Linked DNA regions of Danio rerio. The protein of the gene in region 1 interacts with the protein of each later gene in a biochemical or structural test. Links are inferred from orthologs where the notes say so. Each region holds a gene or a part of one and is shown on either strand. Other genes may lie near its edges.

Region 1 (4,225 bases):
TCAGCACAAATGTGAGCCAGATATGGACAATTGTTTGGTTTGTCCATATTTGGGTTGAATAAGAACTGCATTTTAAGAGTCTATGTGCTAAATGTCACATAAATATGCCCAAATGTGCTTAACATCTGTAAATGTATATAAAAAAATATCTACTAAAAATATAAAAAATAAAAATAAGTAATCAAAATATATGTACTGGATATCTATTAGAAAGAAAGTCTATATTTACCAATTGTCTATTAAAGGTCATCATGACCAATAAAAAAAAAACATATGTATGTATTGAATTCCAATAAAAGATTATCTAAAGAAGGTTTAAAAGACCTGTCTAAAAAAAGACAATGTATATGTATTAAATGTCTCTAAAATGCCCTAAATATTTACTGAATATACAGTTGAAGTCAGAATTATTAGCCCCCCTGAACTATTAGCCTCTGTGTTTATTTTTTCCCCAATTTCTTTTTAATGGAGAGAAGACTTTCTCAACACATTTCTAATAATAGTTTTAATAACTTGTTTCTTAAAACTGATTTATTTTATCTCTGCCATGATGACAGTACACAATATTTAGATATTCTTCAAGATACTTCTATACAGCTTAAAGGGACTTTTAAAGGTTTAACTTGGTTAATTAGGTTAACTAGGCAGGTTAGGGTAATTAAAGCAAGTTATTGTATAACAATGGTTTGTTCAGTAGACTATTAAAAATATATATAGCTTAAAGGGGCTAATAATATTGACCTTAAAATGGTTCATAAACAAATAAAAACTGCTTTTATTCTAGCTGAAATAAAACAAATGAGACTTTCTCCAGAGGAAAGAATATTTTCTATTTTTACTGAATGTTTATAAAAGGCCCTATACATTTACTGTATGTGTATGTATTCATTAGTATATATTCATTTAAACAACAGTTCTGTCTGGTTCTTGAATCTGTTTGGCTAATATCCATGCGATATTTTGCCAGTAACATCACACAGAGGCCTCTTCACCCTTCACCTCTGTGTATTACTCCGCCCTTACAGCAAGCAACAAGCAGGCTACAGTTTGACAAATATTACTGTTGTTAGACAACAATATGTACTTTTGAGGCTTTTTTAGTCGAGAATGTAGTTGTTTAGATTGCAACTATGCAGTTTATTTGTAATAATAGTGCCTATTTTAAAATATTTACAATTTTTGAGACCTCGTCAGCAGCCAAAGACGGTTGACGTTGTCTATCTACAAGATGGCGCCAGAACCGCATAATAAGCCCTTTCTCAGTGTGTTCTCTTGAGCGCATATAAAAAGCTGAAAAACTGAAGCCTTATGGTTTTTAAGATGGACCGGATAGAGTTAATAAGAAGCTGCGAATAAGAAGCTGGATTCAGCCTTGTTCCTCCTTATCGCAAACACAACAGCAGTCTGGTGAGAAATCTCTGTAGACTGATGACATTTCATGTCACGTTTAGCCTTATAATCTTAAAATGTGAGCAAAATTTGCTGTTTTGTCATCACCTTAAGTGGGGTCACACACCAGAAGCGCTGCTTCCCATTACGCTATAGAGAATCAATCAAATGCTAGCTCTAAAGTGACGTTGGTGAATTAGTAATGGCTTCTGCTGTTCTGACATCAGCTGCAGATGTGAATGAATGGCGGAAGAAAATAGTTACTAATACAAAAGGGTTTTAGACTCTTGTGTTTGATTTTCGTTTTTATGTACAAGATTTTGTCGTCGAACTGTGCTATAAACGCAAAATCACACGAGTAATGTGCTATGGCTGTATATCAGCACTGGTGGGGCGCTAAGGCACTCGGCCTGCGGCCTTGTGCCAACGCACGCCTCCCACCAGTGCTGATGTACAGCCATAGCACACTACTCGTGTGATTTTGCTTATATATATATGAGATCATATTTACTGAATATATCTATAAGACCATCTATATTTACTGAATGTCTCTAAAAAGCCCTATATATTTATTGAATATATATAAGACCATTAATATTTACTAAATGTCTTTAAAAGACCATATATATATTTATATACTGGATGTCTATAAAAGGGCCAATATATTTACATATATATATATATATATATATATATATATATATATATATATATATATATATATATATATATATATATATATATATATATATATAAAAGACCCTATATATTTACTAAATGTCTCTAAAAGACCAAATATTTACTGAATGTCTCTAAAAGGCCCTATATATTTACTGAATACAGTATTTATAGATCATCTACATTTAGTGAATGCCTATAAAAAGACATACATTTACTGAATTCCATTTTATTGAATCTATATACTTATCGTGTGTGTATAAATCCAACATCCAAAAAATAATGAATAAATGTGGTAAATATCTTTAAAAGCATGCTGTATGTGCTGACCAAGTCGATACAAGCTAAACATCTATGACAGAATATCTGAACTGAACATCTATTAAACAACAACCGATTACACAACAATATTTTTACATTTCAACCCATTTCATTGTACAATTTAATTCTAAAGTTACACAATTGAAAGACACAAAAAGAGAAAGTAACCTACAGTACCTTCTTCAAAAAGTCTGCCAAGCTATGTGAATCCCAGTTCAGAACCTCGGCTTTGGACGGCAAACTTCCAAAACTCATTGTTTTTCACTGATGAATATAAAATCCTAAATGCCTACAAGCATCCAAAAAAAAAAAAAAGCAACCACTCTCAGATTGAGTTCACACTTCGTCTGACACCGAACACGAGGAGACAAACGTGTCAGCTCTAAAAAAACAAACCAAAGAAAGCCAAATAATGACAGAATCACCCAGTTGCCGATCCAGAAATTAAAGAAATTACTCAAAATTCAACCGACATTTTCTGAAAACACGAAAAAACCCAACACCCCGGATTTGCCTGAGCTGAGTATGAAAAGAAAGAATGACATCCACTTCCCCATAGACTTCCTGTTAATGATTGTTTTGACAAATAGGGGAAGTACAGCCCCTTCACAAAAAAAAAAAAATCTTAATATTACATGTGTTCACCAATAAGAGTTTTCCCCTTCAATAACCGCCTGATTGTCACTTATTCATGATATGAAAGGTTGTCTTAACATGCGTACACTGTAAGAAAATAAACTTTTTATTACAACTTTTAATTTTTATTTTATGTTGTTATGTGTAACTCACTAAAATAAGTTAAGCATGTTTCGACTTATTTTTTAAGTCATAAGAGCTGCTTTACATCAATTTAATGCAATGCAAGTTGGCTTGTAAGGTTAATTCAACTCAACGAAACATTTAGAAAAGGACTTTTGCTGTTTGTTTAAACTACTTATTTGAAATGGGTTGAAACGACACAATTCTTAAGGATTTTTTTGTGAAACAACTTAATTGTTTTATGTTCAATCCAGATAAATTTGTACAAACTTTCAAGTTAGCTTGACCGATTTGTGTTGAGACAACATGAAGGAATTGTGTGGAACCCAACATTTTTGAAAGTGAATATTCTGTAACCACTTCTTTTTTTTTTTTTTTTTTTTTTAACAAGGGATCTAAATAAGACTGGAATAAGACATTAATATGTGCTTTATAATAAACAGGCAGTATAGTAATATGAACAATGATAGTAATATAATAACACAGATGGACAATTAAGAACAAATTGTGTGTTTGACATCTTACTAGTCACTTTAAAGAATTAGATGCTGACTTGTTGAATCAAATAAAATTTTCAAGTTGTAAAAATAAGTGCTTGAAAAAAGTGAAAAAAAATATTTTAAAACCATTTTTTATAATTTTTTTTCACATTTTTCAAGTGCTTTGGAGTGACTTTTGCAGTTTCTTCTGATGAATCCCTTACCCAAAGATCACCGACACATTATTTAAGCTACGCCTGAGCACTTTTGGTTTGATTTTAAATTTACAAGTCATTTAAACTTATGTTACAAGAAAGACAACTGACATAAAACATCAATTTGAATCTCAGATAATTGAAATGTTAAAACGTGATTGATTAACGCATTTTGTGTTAAATTAATATAAAAACATGTTTGTTTGTTTACTGTGTAATAGTCTTTTGGTTATAAGCTTAATTTGCTTAAAAATATATAGCTTTTTATTGATGTACACATTTCAACAAAATTTACAAATATATACACAATAGCAAATATATAATAAATATATGTACAGTTAGTTAAGTCAGAATTATTAGCCCCCATTTGATTTTTTTTTTTTT
Region 2 (4,147 bases), on another chromosome or scaffold:
AATGGTTTGCTTTTTTTTACACAATGTCTTATATTTCTGTGTCTTGTTTATTAATATATGTTGGTGAAAAACGAATCAATATGTATTTTTATTAAAATGATCAATTGACAATAACAATTTCCACAGTATAGAATATATAATCCAGCAACTGGATTGTAAAGAACGCCTATTTCATTTATATCACAGATCAGTAATATTCGTCTGTCTATCTGTAAATGGTTAAAATTGAAGGAGAAGAATATGCTTAAATCTAATGAAATAAAAATGTCGGATTTTTAATTCAGAAAAATCTCAATTGTCTGAATTTTAAATTAAGATTTTTAAAATATTTTTAAAAATAAATGCAACTTAATTTCTATAATTTCGCTGGTTTAAATCCAAGCTCAGTTGCCATTTCTGCGTGGAGTTTGCATGTTCTCCCCGTGTTCTTCAGGTGCTCTGGTGTTCCCCACAGTCCAAACTAGAGATCTGCGCAGCACTAAATTTTGAATCCCGCTCCCGCCAGGTTTTAGCCCTAACCCGACCGCTCCCGCTTATATTTAGCATTTGTTGTCCCTCTGCCCAACCCGCCCCGTTTTCTACCCGTTGCGCCCATTTTCGCTAACGGACGAGGGGGAGAACAAAAGCGAAAACCCCCCAGCTATACAGAGTCCAGACAGCCTATAACAAACTATAACACACACACAAGCACCAAGCAAGTGACACACACACAGACAGCATCACGCTCTTTCTCTCATTCACGCATTCACGCATAAACACACACACAGCACAAAGCTCTCTCTTTCATATACACACACACACACACACACACACACACACACACACACACACACACAGCAAGAAACAAGCTAAGCGCAGCATCAGGCTGTCTCATTCACACACATACATACATACGCGTGCTTGCTCGCTCAGGAGTCAGGAGTGATATTGTTAGACCGCGAGCTTCTGTACAAAATTAAACCAGTTACCGACCGCTCCTGCGCTTCTTTCGGAAATTTATCTCCGCACCGCAAGAAATCTAGTCGGCCGTAGTGTACGAGTGTGAATGCGAGTGTATGGGTGTTTCCCAGTACTGGGTTGCGGCTGAAAAGGCATCAGCTGTGTAAAACATGCTGGATAAGTTGGCGGTTCATTCCACTGTGGCGACCCCTAATGAATAAAGGGACTAAGCCGAAGTGAAATAAATGAATAAATAATAATAACAAATGTTATAAAAATATTGTGAAAATGCCTTTGCTGTGTTGAACGGTGCTCGGGATAGATTTAAAAACATATTACAATTTCACAAGAGAGCTTTTAATATTGCCTTCAACTGTGTGTGATTGTCTGCTGATCTCTCATGATGCTGCTAATGAGGAGTTATTTCATGACTGAGGGCTGTACTGCATTAAGACTGAGATGTTTCTCTCTTTCATATAGATTTGTATTTCCCAGATGCTTTTAAATGTGATTTGATCAATGGCTGTGCTTTTTTCTTTTTGCTAATGTTGCCTCTGTGTTTGTTTTGTCTGTTCCTGACAGCGTCCGGGGACCAGACGGCTCACATCTGGCGTTACATGGTACAACTGCCACTTCCACAGCCTCCAGCAGACATCAGCGTGAGTATTAAACACACACGCACACACAAACACCCACAGAGACATGCGTACACACACGCGCATGCAGACGCAGACAGATACACTTAGACGCATATGACACACGTGTACAGACAAACATACACACAAAGGCAGACAGATGCGTACACAAATGCATACAGTACACACAAACGCAGTACACACAAACTAATTAGTTAACAGTAAGTGTAATATTAGTAATAATAAATATACAATTTAGTAATACTAAAATGTTCTGTGTAATAAAACGAAACAGGTAAAAAGTATTGAACACATGAAGGGAGGTGTGGAAATGCATGGAAAGCCCAGACAGCAGCTGAAATCTCTCAGTAGTTCTTCAGTAACCCTCTGCTTTTCCTCAGTGTAAATGAATATCAGCTGCTTCAGTCCAACATCTACATTAGCAGGATGATGGAGATGAAACCAGGGTGGACATTTCAGCAAAACAATGATCCATAACCAAGTAGACTTTCAAATGCTTTCAGAGAAAGAAAATCAAGCTGTAGAATGGCCCAGCCAATCATCTGACCTAAATCCAATACAGAATCTCAGATTTGATAGACGAGACCCACAGAACCATTCATTCATTTTCTTGTCGGCTTAGTCCCTTTATAAATCCGGGGTCGCCACAGCGGAATGAACCGCCAACTTATCCAGCAAGTTTTTACGCAGTGGATGCCCTTCCAGCCGCAACCCATTCCTGGGAAACATCCACACACACTCATACACTACGGAAAATTTAGCCTACCCAATTCACCTGTACCACATATCTTTGGACTGTGGGGGAAACCGGAGCACCCGGAGGAAACCCACACGAACGCAGGCAGAACATGCAAACTCCACACAGAAACGCCTACTGAGCCGAGGCTGGAACCAGCGACCTTCTTGCTGTGAGGCGACAGCACTACCTACTGCGCCACTGCTTCACCCACCCACAGAACCATATGTATAATATTGTGAAGCATCCTATAGAAAATAATATGAATGTAAAAGCGAGATCTGTAAAGGGTGTACTCATTTATCCTGTGCACTGTAAACCCTTTAATTATAGAAAAGTGTTTTATTTTTTATGAAATGTTTGTCAATTTGATCAGTTTTTCTGGTCATAATAACAGCTGGAGATGCTGAAATGGTAATGAAATCAAATTACCTCAAACATTTGCTCTTGTCATTTCCTGTGCGACTCAGGCCTCGCTGGACGATGACGTGGATTTCTCTGATAAAGACGAGGCAGACGGCGACGCTGATGGACCCAATGAATGCCCCACCATCCGCGTGGCCACAACCACCTTGAAGAGCCACCAAGGCGTGGTGATCGCCGCTGATTGGCTGGTGGGAGGAAAGCAGGTGGTCACTGCGTCCTGGGACAGAGCCGCAAACCTGTACGATGTGGAGACCTCGGAGCTGGTGCACACCCTGACAGGTGAACATGAGGAGAAATAAATCAACATTTACTAATGTGTTTAAGGAGAGTTATTATGGATATTTTAATTCATTCATTCATTTTTCTTTGGCTTAGTCCCTTATTTATCAGGGGTCGCCACAGTGGAATGAACCACCAACTATTCCAGCATATGTTTTACACAGTGTATGTCCTTCCAGCTGTAACACCCATACACACTCATACACACATTTTAGTTCACCAATTCCCCTATAGCGTATGTGTTTGAACTGTGGGGGAAACCGGAGCACCCAGAGGAAACCCATGCCAACATGGGGAGAACATGCAAACTTCACACAGAAATTCTAACTGACCCAGCCGGGACTCAAACCAGTGATCTTGCTGTGAGGCGACCACTGAGCCACCAGTTTTTAATATTTGTTGTTTTTTATTTCTTATACTCGTTTCTTTTATTCTTGTTCATGTAAACCACTTTGAATTACCATTGTGTGTGAAATGTGCAATATAAATAAAGTTGCCTTGTTTATTATTTGTTAAACCCTCAACTACAACTCAGTTGTATTGTATCAACCTCTACCCCAGCTCTAACCCTCACCATTACCTGTTTGTGTGTGTTTGCAGGTCACGATCAGGAGTTGACCCACTGCTGCACTCATCCGACTCAGCGTCTGGTGGTCACTTCATCCAGAGACACCACCTTCCGCCTGTGGGACTTCAGAGATCCCTCCATCCACTCAGTCAATGTCTTCCAGGGCCACACCGAGTGAGTCACATCATCTTATTGACCGTCGACATATAAACAACCTGCCAAAATGAACATTTGGTGTCACTTTAAATTACTGTATGCTTGTAAAATATTAATATTAGAGTAAATTAAAGTGCTTTTTATAGAAATAATATGGTATAATATTTTTTAATATGACATAATAATATAATAACAACAACAATAATAAATATTATTATTATATTTTAATAAATATTATATATTTATTAAATAAATACATATTTTTGTATTAGACCATAGATAAAGTTATGAATATTTTTTCAAAATGTTTTCCATAGTCATATTTTAATAACATTTTCAGTTCTTAAAGTGTTATGATTTTATTATTTAAACATACTTTAAAAAAAA
Region 3 (3,655 bases), on another chromosome or scaffold:
AGAACCCTTTTCTATTGTTACTCAGTGTAAACGCACTTGACAGACGTGCATAAGGAGTTCATGAGTAGTTAAGAATGGGTTAATGATGATGTGCCACTCCAAGTAAAGTCATAATTATAAATTAACATATAAAGAATTCTTGATGGTTGAGTTAAGCATAAACTAATGTGGTAATTAATACAGTACATTAATAAACAATCATGTACAAACAAGTAATTAAGGAAGCTGTTATTCACACATGAACTCATGTGCTCATGTTGTAGTTAAAGTTAGTTCATAATCAGTGCACACATTAATTAATCATTAGTTCATAATAAAGTAATGCTTAGTTTACATATTAAAATATCATTATTTCTGTACTGTTATTGTGAAGTGTTACAAGTAAATTTATTTGATTTGTGTTTGGACAACATAAATGAATTGTGTAGAACTCAACTTAATTTTTTTTTTTACAATGTAGAGATGTTGCTATATAATTCAATTAAAGAGTTGACTGTTTAACTTTGCAAAAAAATTGGTTGAAATAATTATTTAACTGAACTAAAAATTGATCTCGGTCATTTTCACGCACTGCTACTCACCTTGTCATTCCAAAATCTGCTATCTTCACCACACTATTTTCAGAAACCAAACAGTTTCTCGCAGCCTATTAAACAGAAGAATGTAAGAACAACTGCACAAATGTTTGCAAGAAACTGACTAACCAAACTCCCTGTTTATAGCCTACTTACCAAGTCCCTGTGGATGAAGTTAGAGCTTTCAAGGTAGGCCATTCCTTCACTTACGTCCAAACACATCTCCAGCAGAGCCTTTTGGGAAAGTTTGCCTTTTTTAGCCCGCAAGAACTCCGTAAGGCAACCGTTTTCCATGAATTCGAATACCAGGTATATGGGTGAACGCTGAGTGACCACACCATACAACTGCACCAGCCTATTGTGGGATAGTTTCCTGTGGAGAAAGACAATGAGTGAGCAATAAATTCACATTTTTTATTCCTCATTTTTTGAGGTGTACATAAACTGCAGTTGCTTACATCATAACTTGTGCTTCTTCTTTGAATTCCTCCTCTGACATAAATCCCTCACGAACCGTCTTAACTGCCACCTCCATGTCTTGCCAACTTCCCTTCCACACCAAGCCAAACTGCCCACTGCCCAGTTCCACACTTAATTTCACTTCATCAGGGTGAATCTCCCACTTATCTGTAACAAAAAAGGAAACAAACTAGCTTGTACATTAATAAAACAATAGGTGATCATACAAAATTGTATTTGCAGACAAATGAGTAGTTGTAAGAGGGACTGTGACTTAATATTTAGATTTATAATTAATATTTTTGACAACAATGTGATCTTTTTAATAGTTTTGTTTTAAATATGCCTGATAATATGATAAATAATATGATAAATATGCCTTTGTGATAGTTGTTTATGAATCACTTGGTTGTTTTGAACAGTTAAACTGACTGCTGCTCTTCAGTAAATTCTCCATCTCCCTCAGATTCTTGAGTTTTTCAGCATCTTCAGCAGATTGAACTCTTTCCGGCAGTAGCTGTGTGATTGTGAGACCCATTTTTTCTCTCAGTGGATGATTGAGAGACTCAAACACTACTGTTAAAAAAGTTACTGATGCTTCAGAAGGAAAAACAAGGCATTAAGAGCAAAGGAGTGAAAACTTTTAGAATCTGAAGATCAATTTAAATTGTGTTCCAGGATGAATATAAGTCGTTTCTGCTATTTTCCAACTAAATGGCAGTACTAAATGGAAAAAAATGAGTCAAAATAAGAAATATTTGGATCTTCGTCCTGTTTAAAGGTTTTCAATCCTCAGCTCTTAATGCCTCCTGTTTCCTTCTCCATCAGTAAGCATTTACACTACCTGACAAAAAGTCTTGTCGTTGATATCAGTTGTAAAAGCAACAAATAATAACTTGACATCTAGTTGATCATTTGGCAAGTGTTAGAAGGTAGATTTTTCTGATGAATCATCTGTTGACCTGCATCCTAATCATCAGAAATACAACAGAAGACCTATTGGAACCCACATGGACTCAAACTTCTCACAGAAATCAGTCAAGTTTCATTCCACATCAAAGTTCCTGAAAGCAGGTCAAGGTGCTCCATGATTGGCCAGCTTAGTCACCAGACATGAACATTATTGAGTATGTCTGGGGTAAGATGGAGGAGGCATTGAAGATTAATCCAATGAATCTTGATGAACAGCAGGAGTCCTGCAAGAACACTTTCTTTGCCATTCCAAATGACTTTATTAATAAGTTATTTGTGTCATTGCAGTGATGTATGGATGCAGTCGCTCAAGCTTATGGGTGTCAAGCACAATATTAACTCTTTTTCCACTGCACCAGGACTTTATATTTTATAGTGTACATTATTTCTGTTAAGTGACAAGACTTTTGTCTCAGCAAAGTCAGACCTTACTGTCCTAATTAAATAATTAAAAATCAAGACATGATGATTTATTTGGGCAAAATAAGCGAAATCTAGAGGCCTTTTTCTTTTATATAAGCCACTTCTGATACCAAATGACCAACTAGAAGTCAGTTTATCATTTGTTGCTCCTAAAACTTATAGTATAGGATAGCCAACAAGACTTTTGTCAGGTGGTGTAAACCTTTTTTTTTAAACATTGAGTCCCTCAATCATCCTCCGAGTGAAAAGATAAATCTCACAATCATACATTGGATGCTGCAAAACTAAAGAATCTGCAGGAAATCTGAAGATCAGCAGTCAGTTTAACTGTTCAGAACAAACAAGAGACTCGTGAACAACCATCACAAAGCACTCATAGATCATCAGGAAATCACAGAGTATTTAAACGGAAGGATATGTAAACTTTTGGAGGGGGGCTATTTGAATAATTTTGTAAAATATTTGTCTAGTGAACTATGTAAACATATTTTATGTAATATATCTTAATTTGAATTATACTAAATAAAAAACAACAAGCATTCTGTATTATCACTCTAATTTCATTAAATTTCATTTAACAAATTCTGTAACAAATAATTTGGGAAAACTGTTTTAATGCTTTTAAAAGACGTATGATGTCAAAAAAACGGCAACATTTTAAAAGTTTTTACAAATATTTTATATAACTTGCAGTTATTTATTATTTAAATTTAAAATACATTTATTTAAAATAAAATGTCGAGCTGAATTAAAACATCAAAGCTGAAAACTGTGAAATGTTTCAGGATTCTTTAATAATAATAATAATAATAAAGTTCTGTATGTGTACTGTGCTGTGAAATTGAAAAAAAAAACACAGCCGAGTTTACCTGATGATAACTCCTTGATCCTTGCAGAGTTTGGGACATTTCTAGACACACAGTGCCTCAGTCTGGTGATCAAACCTTTCACAAAAACAAGGAAACAAGGCACAAGGAAAGAGAAGACTCAAATCGACTTTTCTTCTTGTGGTTTAACTGTCATATCTTTATGACAGTTATTTATTATAATGCCTCTAACAAACTATCAGATAATAAAAATCAAATAATAAATGTTATTAGCACGCAATATAAAAGCATCTCTTCATATAGAGTTTACCTGCCGGATTGTGTTGGTGGTAGCGGATGAGCTCTGGAATGGTTGGGAACAAATATTTCTCAGCTAAGTAATACAAGACTTTTTCACCT

What was found.
Region 2: the proteins of lcp2a (region 1) and nck1b form a complex in vitro, tested with the Homo sapiens proteins (2 studies listed by BioGRID and IntAct, with this or other methods). The link is inferred for Danio rerio from reciprocal best matches to the Homo sapiens genes LCP2 and NCK1.
Region 3: the proteins of lcp2a (region 1) and itk form a complex in vitro, tested with the Homo sapiens proteins (2 studies listed by BioGRID, with this or other methods). The link is inferred for Danio rerio from reciprocal best matches to the Homo sapiens genes LCP2 and ITK.

The regions. Positions count from the first base shown.
Region 1 is NC_133196.1:32,961,860-32,966,084, reverse strand, and holds the start of lcp2a (lymphocyte cytosolic protein 2a), read right to left. Parts: upstream 2,929-4,225; 5' UTR 2,644-2,928; coding exon 2,566-2,643; intron 1-2,565. UniProt on the Homo sapiens protein: Adapter protein primarily involved in signaling pathways within T-cells, as well as other immune cells such as platelets, mast cells, and natural killer (NK) cells.
Region 2 is NC_133199.1:3,692,853-3,696,999, forward strand, and holds the start of nck1b (SH2/SH3 adapter protein Nck1), read right to left. Parts: upstream 2,802-4,147; 5' UTR 2,764-2,801; intron 1,599-2,763; coding exon of another isoform or gene 1,522-1,598; intron 1-1,521. Other genes in the region: wdr37 (WD repeat-containing protein 37), read left to right, coding at 1,522-1,598, 2,802-3,036, 3,637-3,778. UniProt on the Homo sapiens protein: Adapter protein which associates with tyrosine-phosphorylated growth factor receptors, such as KDR and PDGFRB, or their cellular substrates. Maintains low levels of EIF2S1 phosphorylation by promoting its dephosphorylation by PP1.
Region 3 is NC_133189.1:38,626,440-38,630,094, forward strand, and holds part of itk (tyrosine-protein kinase ITK/TSK), read right to left. Parts: coding exon 3,567-3,655; intron 3,374-3,566; coding exon 3,299-3,373; intron 1,203-3,298; coding exon 1,034-1,202; intron 949-1,033; coding exon 732-948; intron 647-731; coding exon 582-646; intron 1-581. UniProt on the Homo sapiens protein: Tyrosine kinase that plays an essential role in regulation of the adaptive immune response. Regulates the development, function and differentiation of conventional T-cells and nonconventional NKT-cells.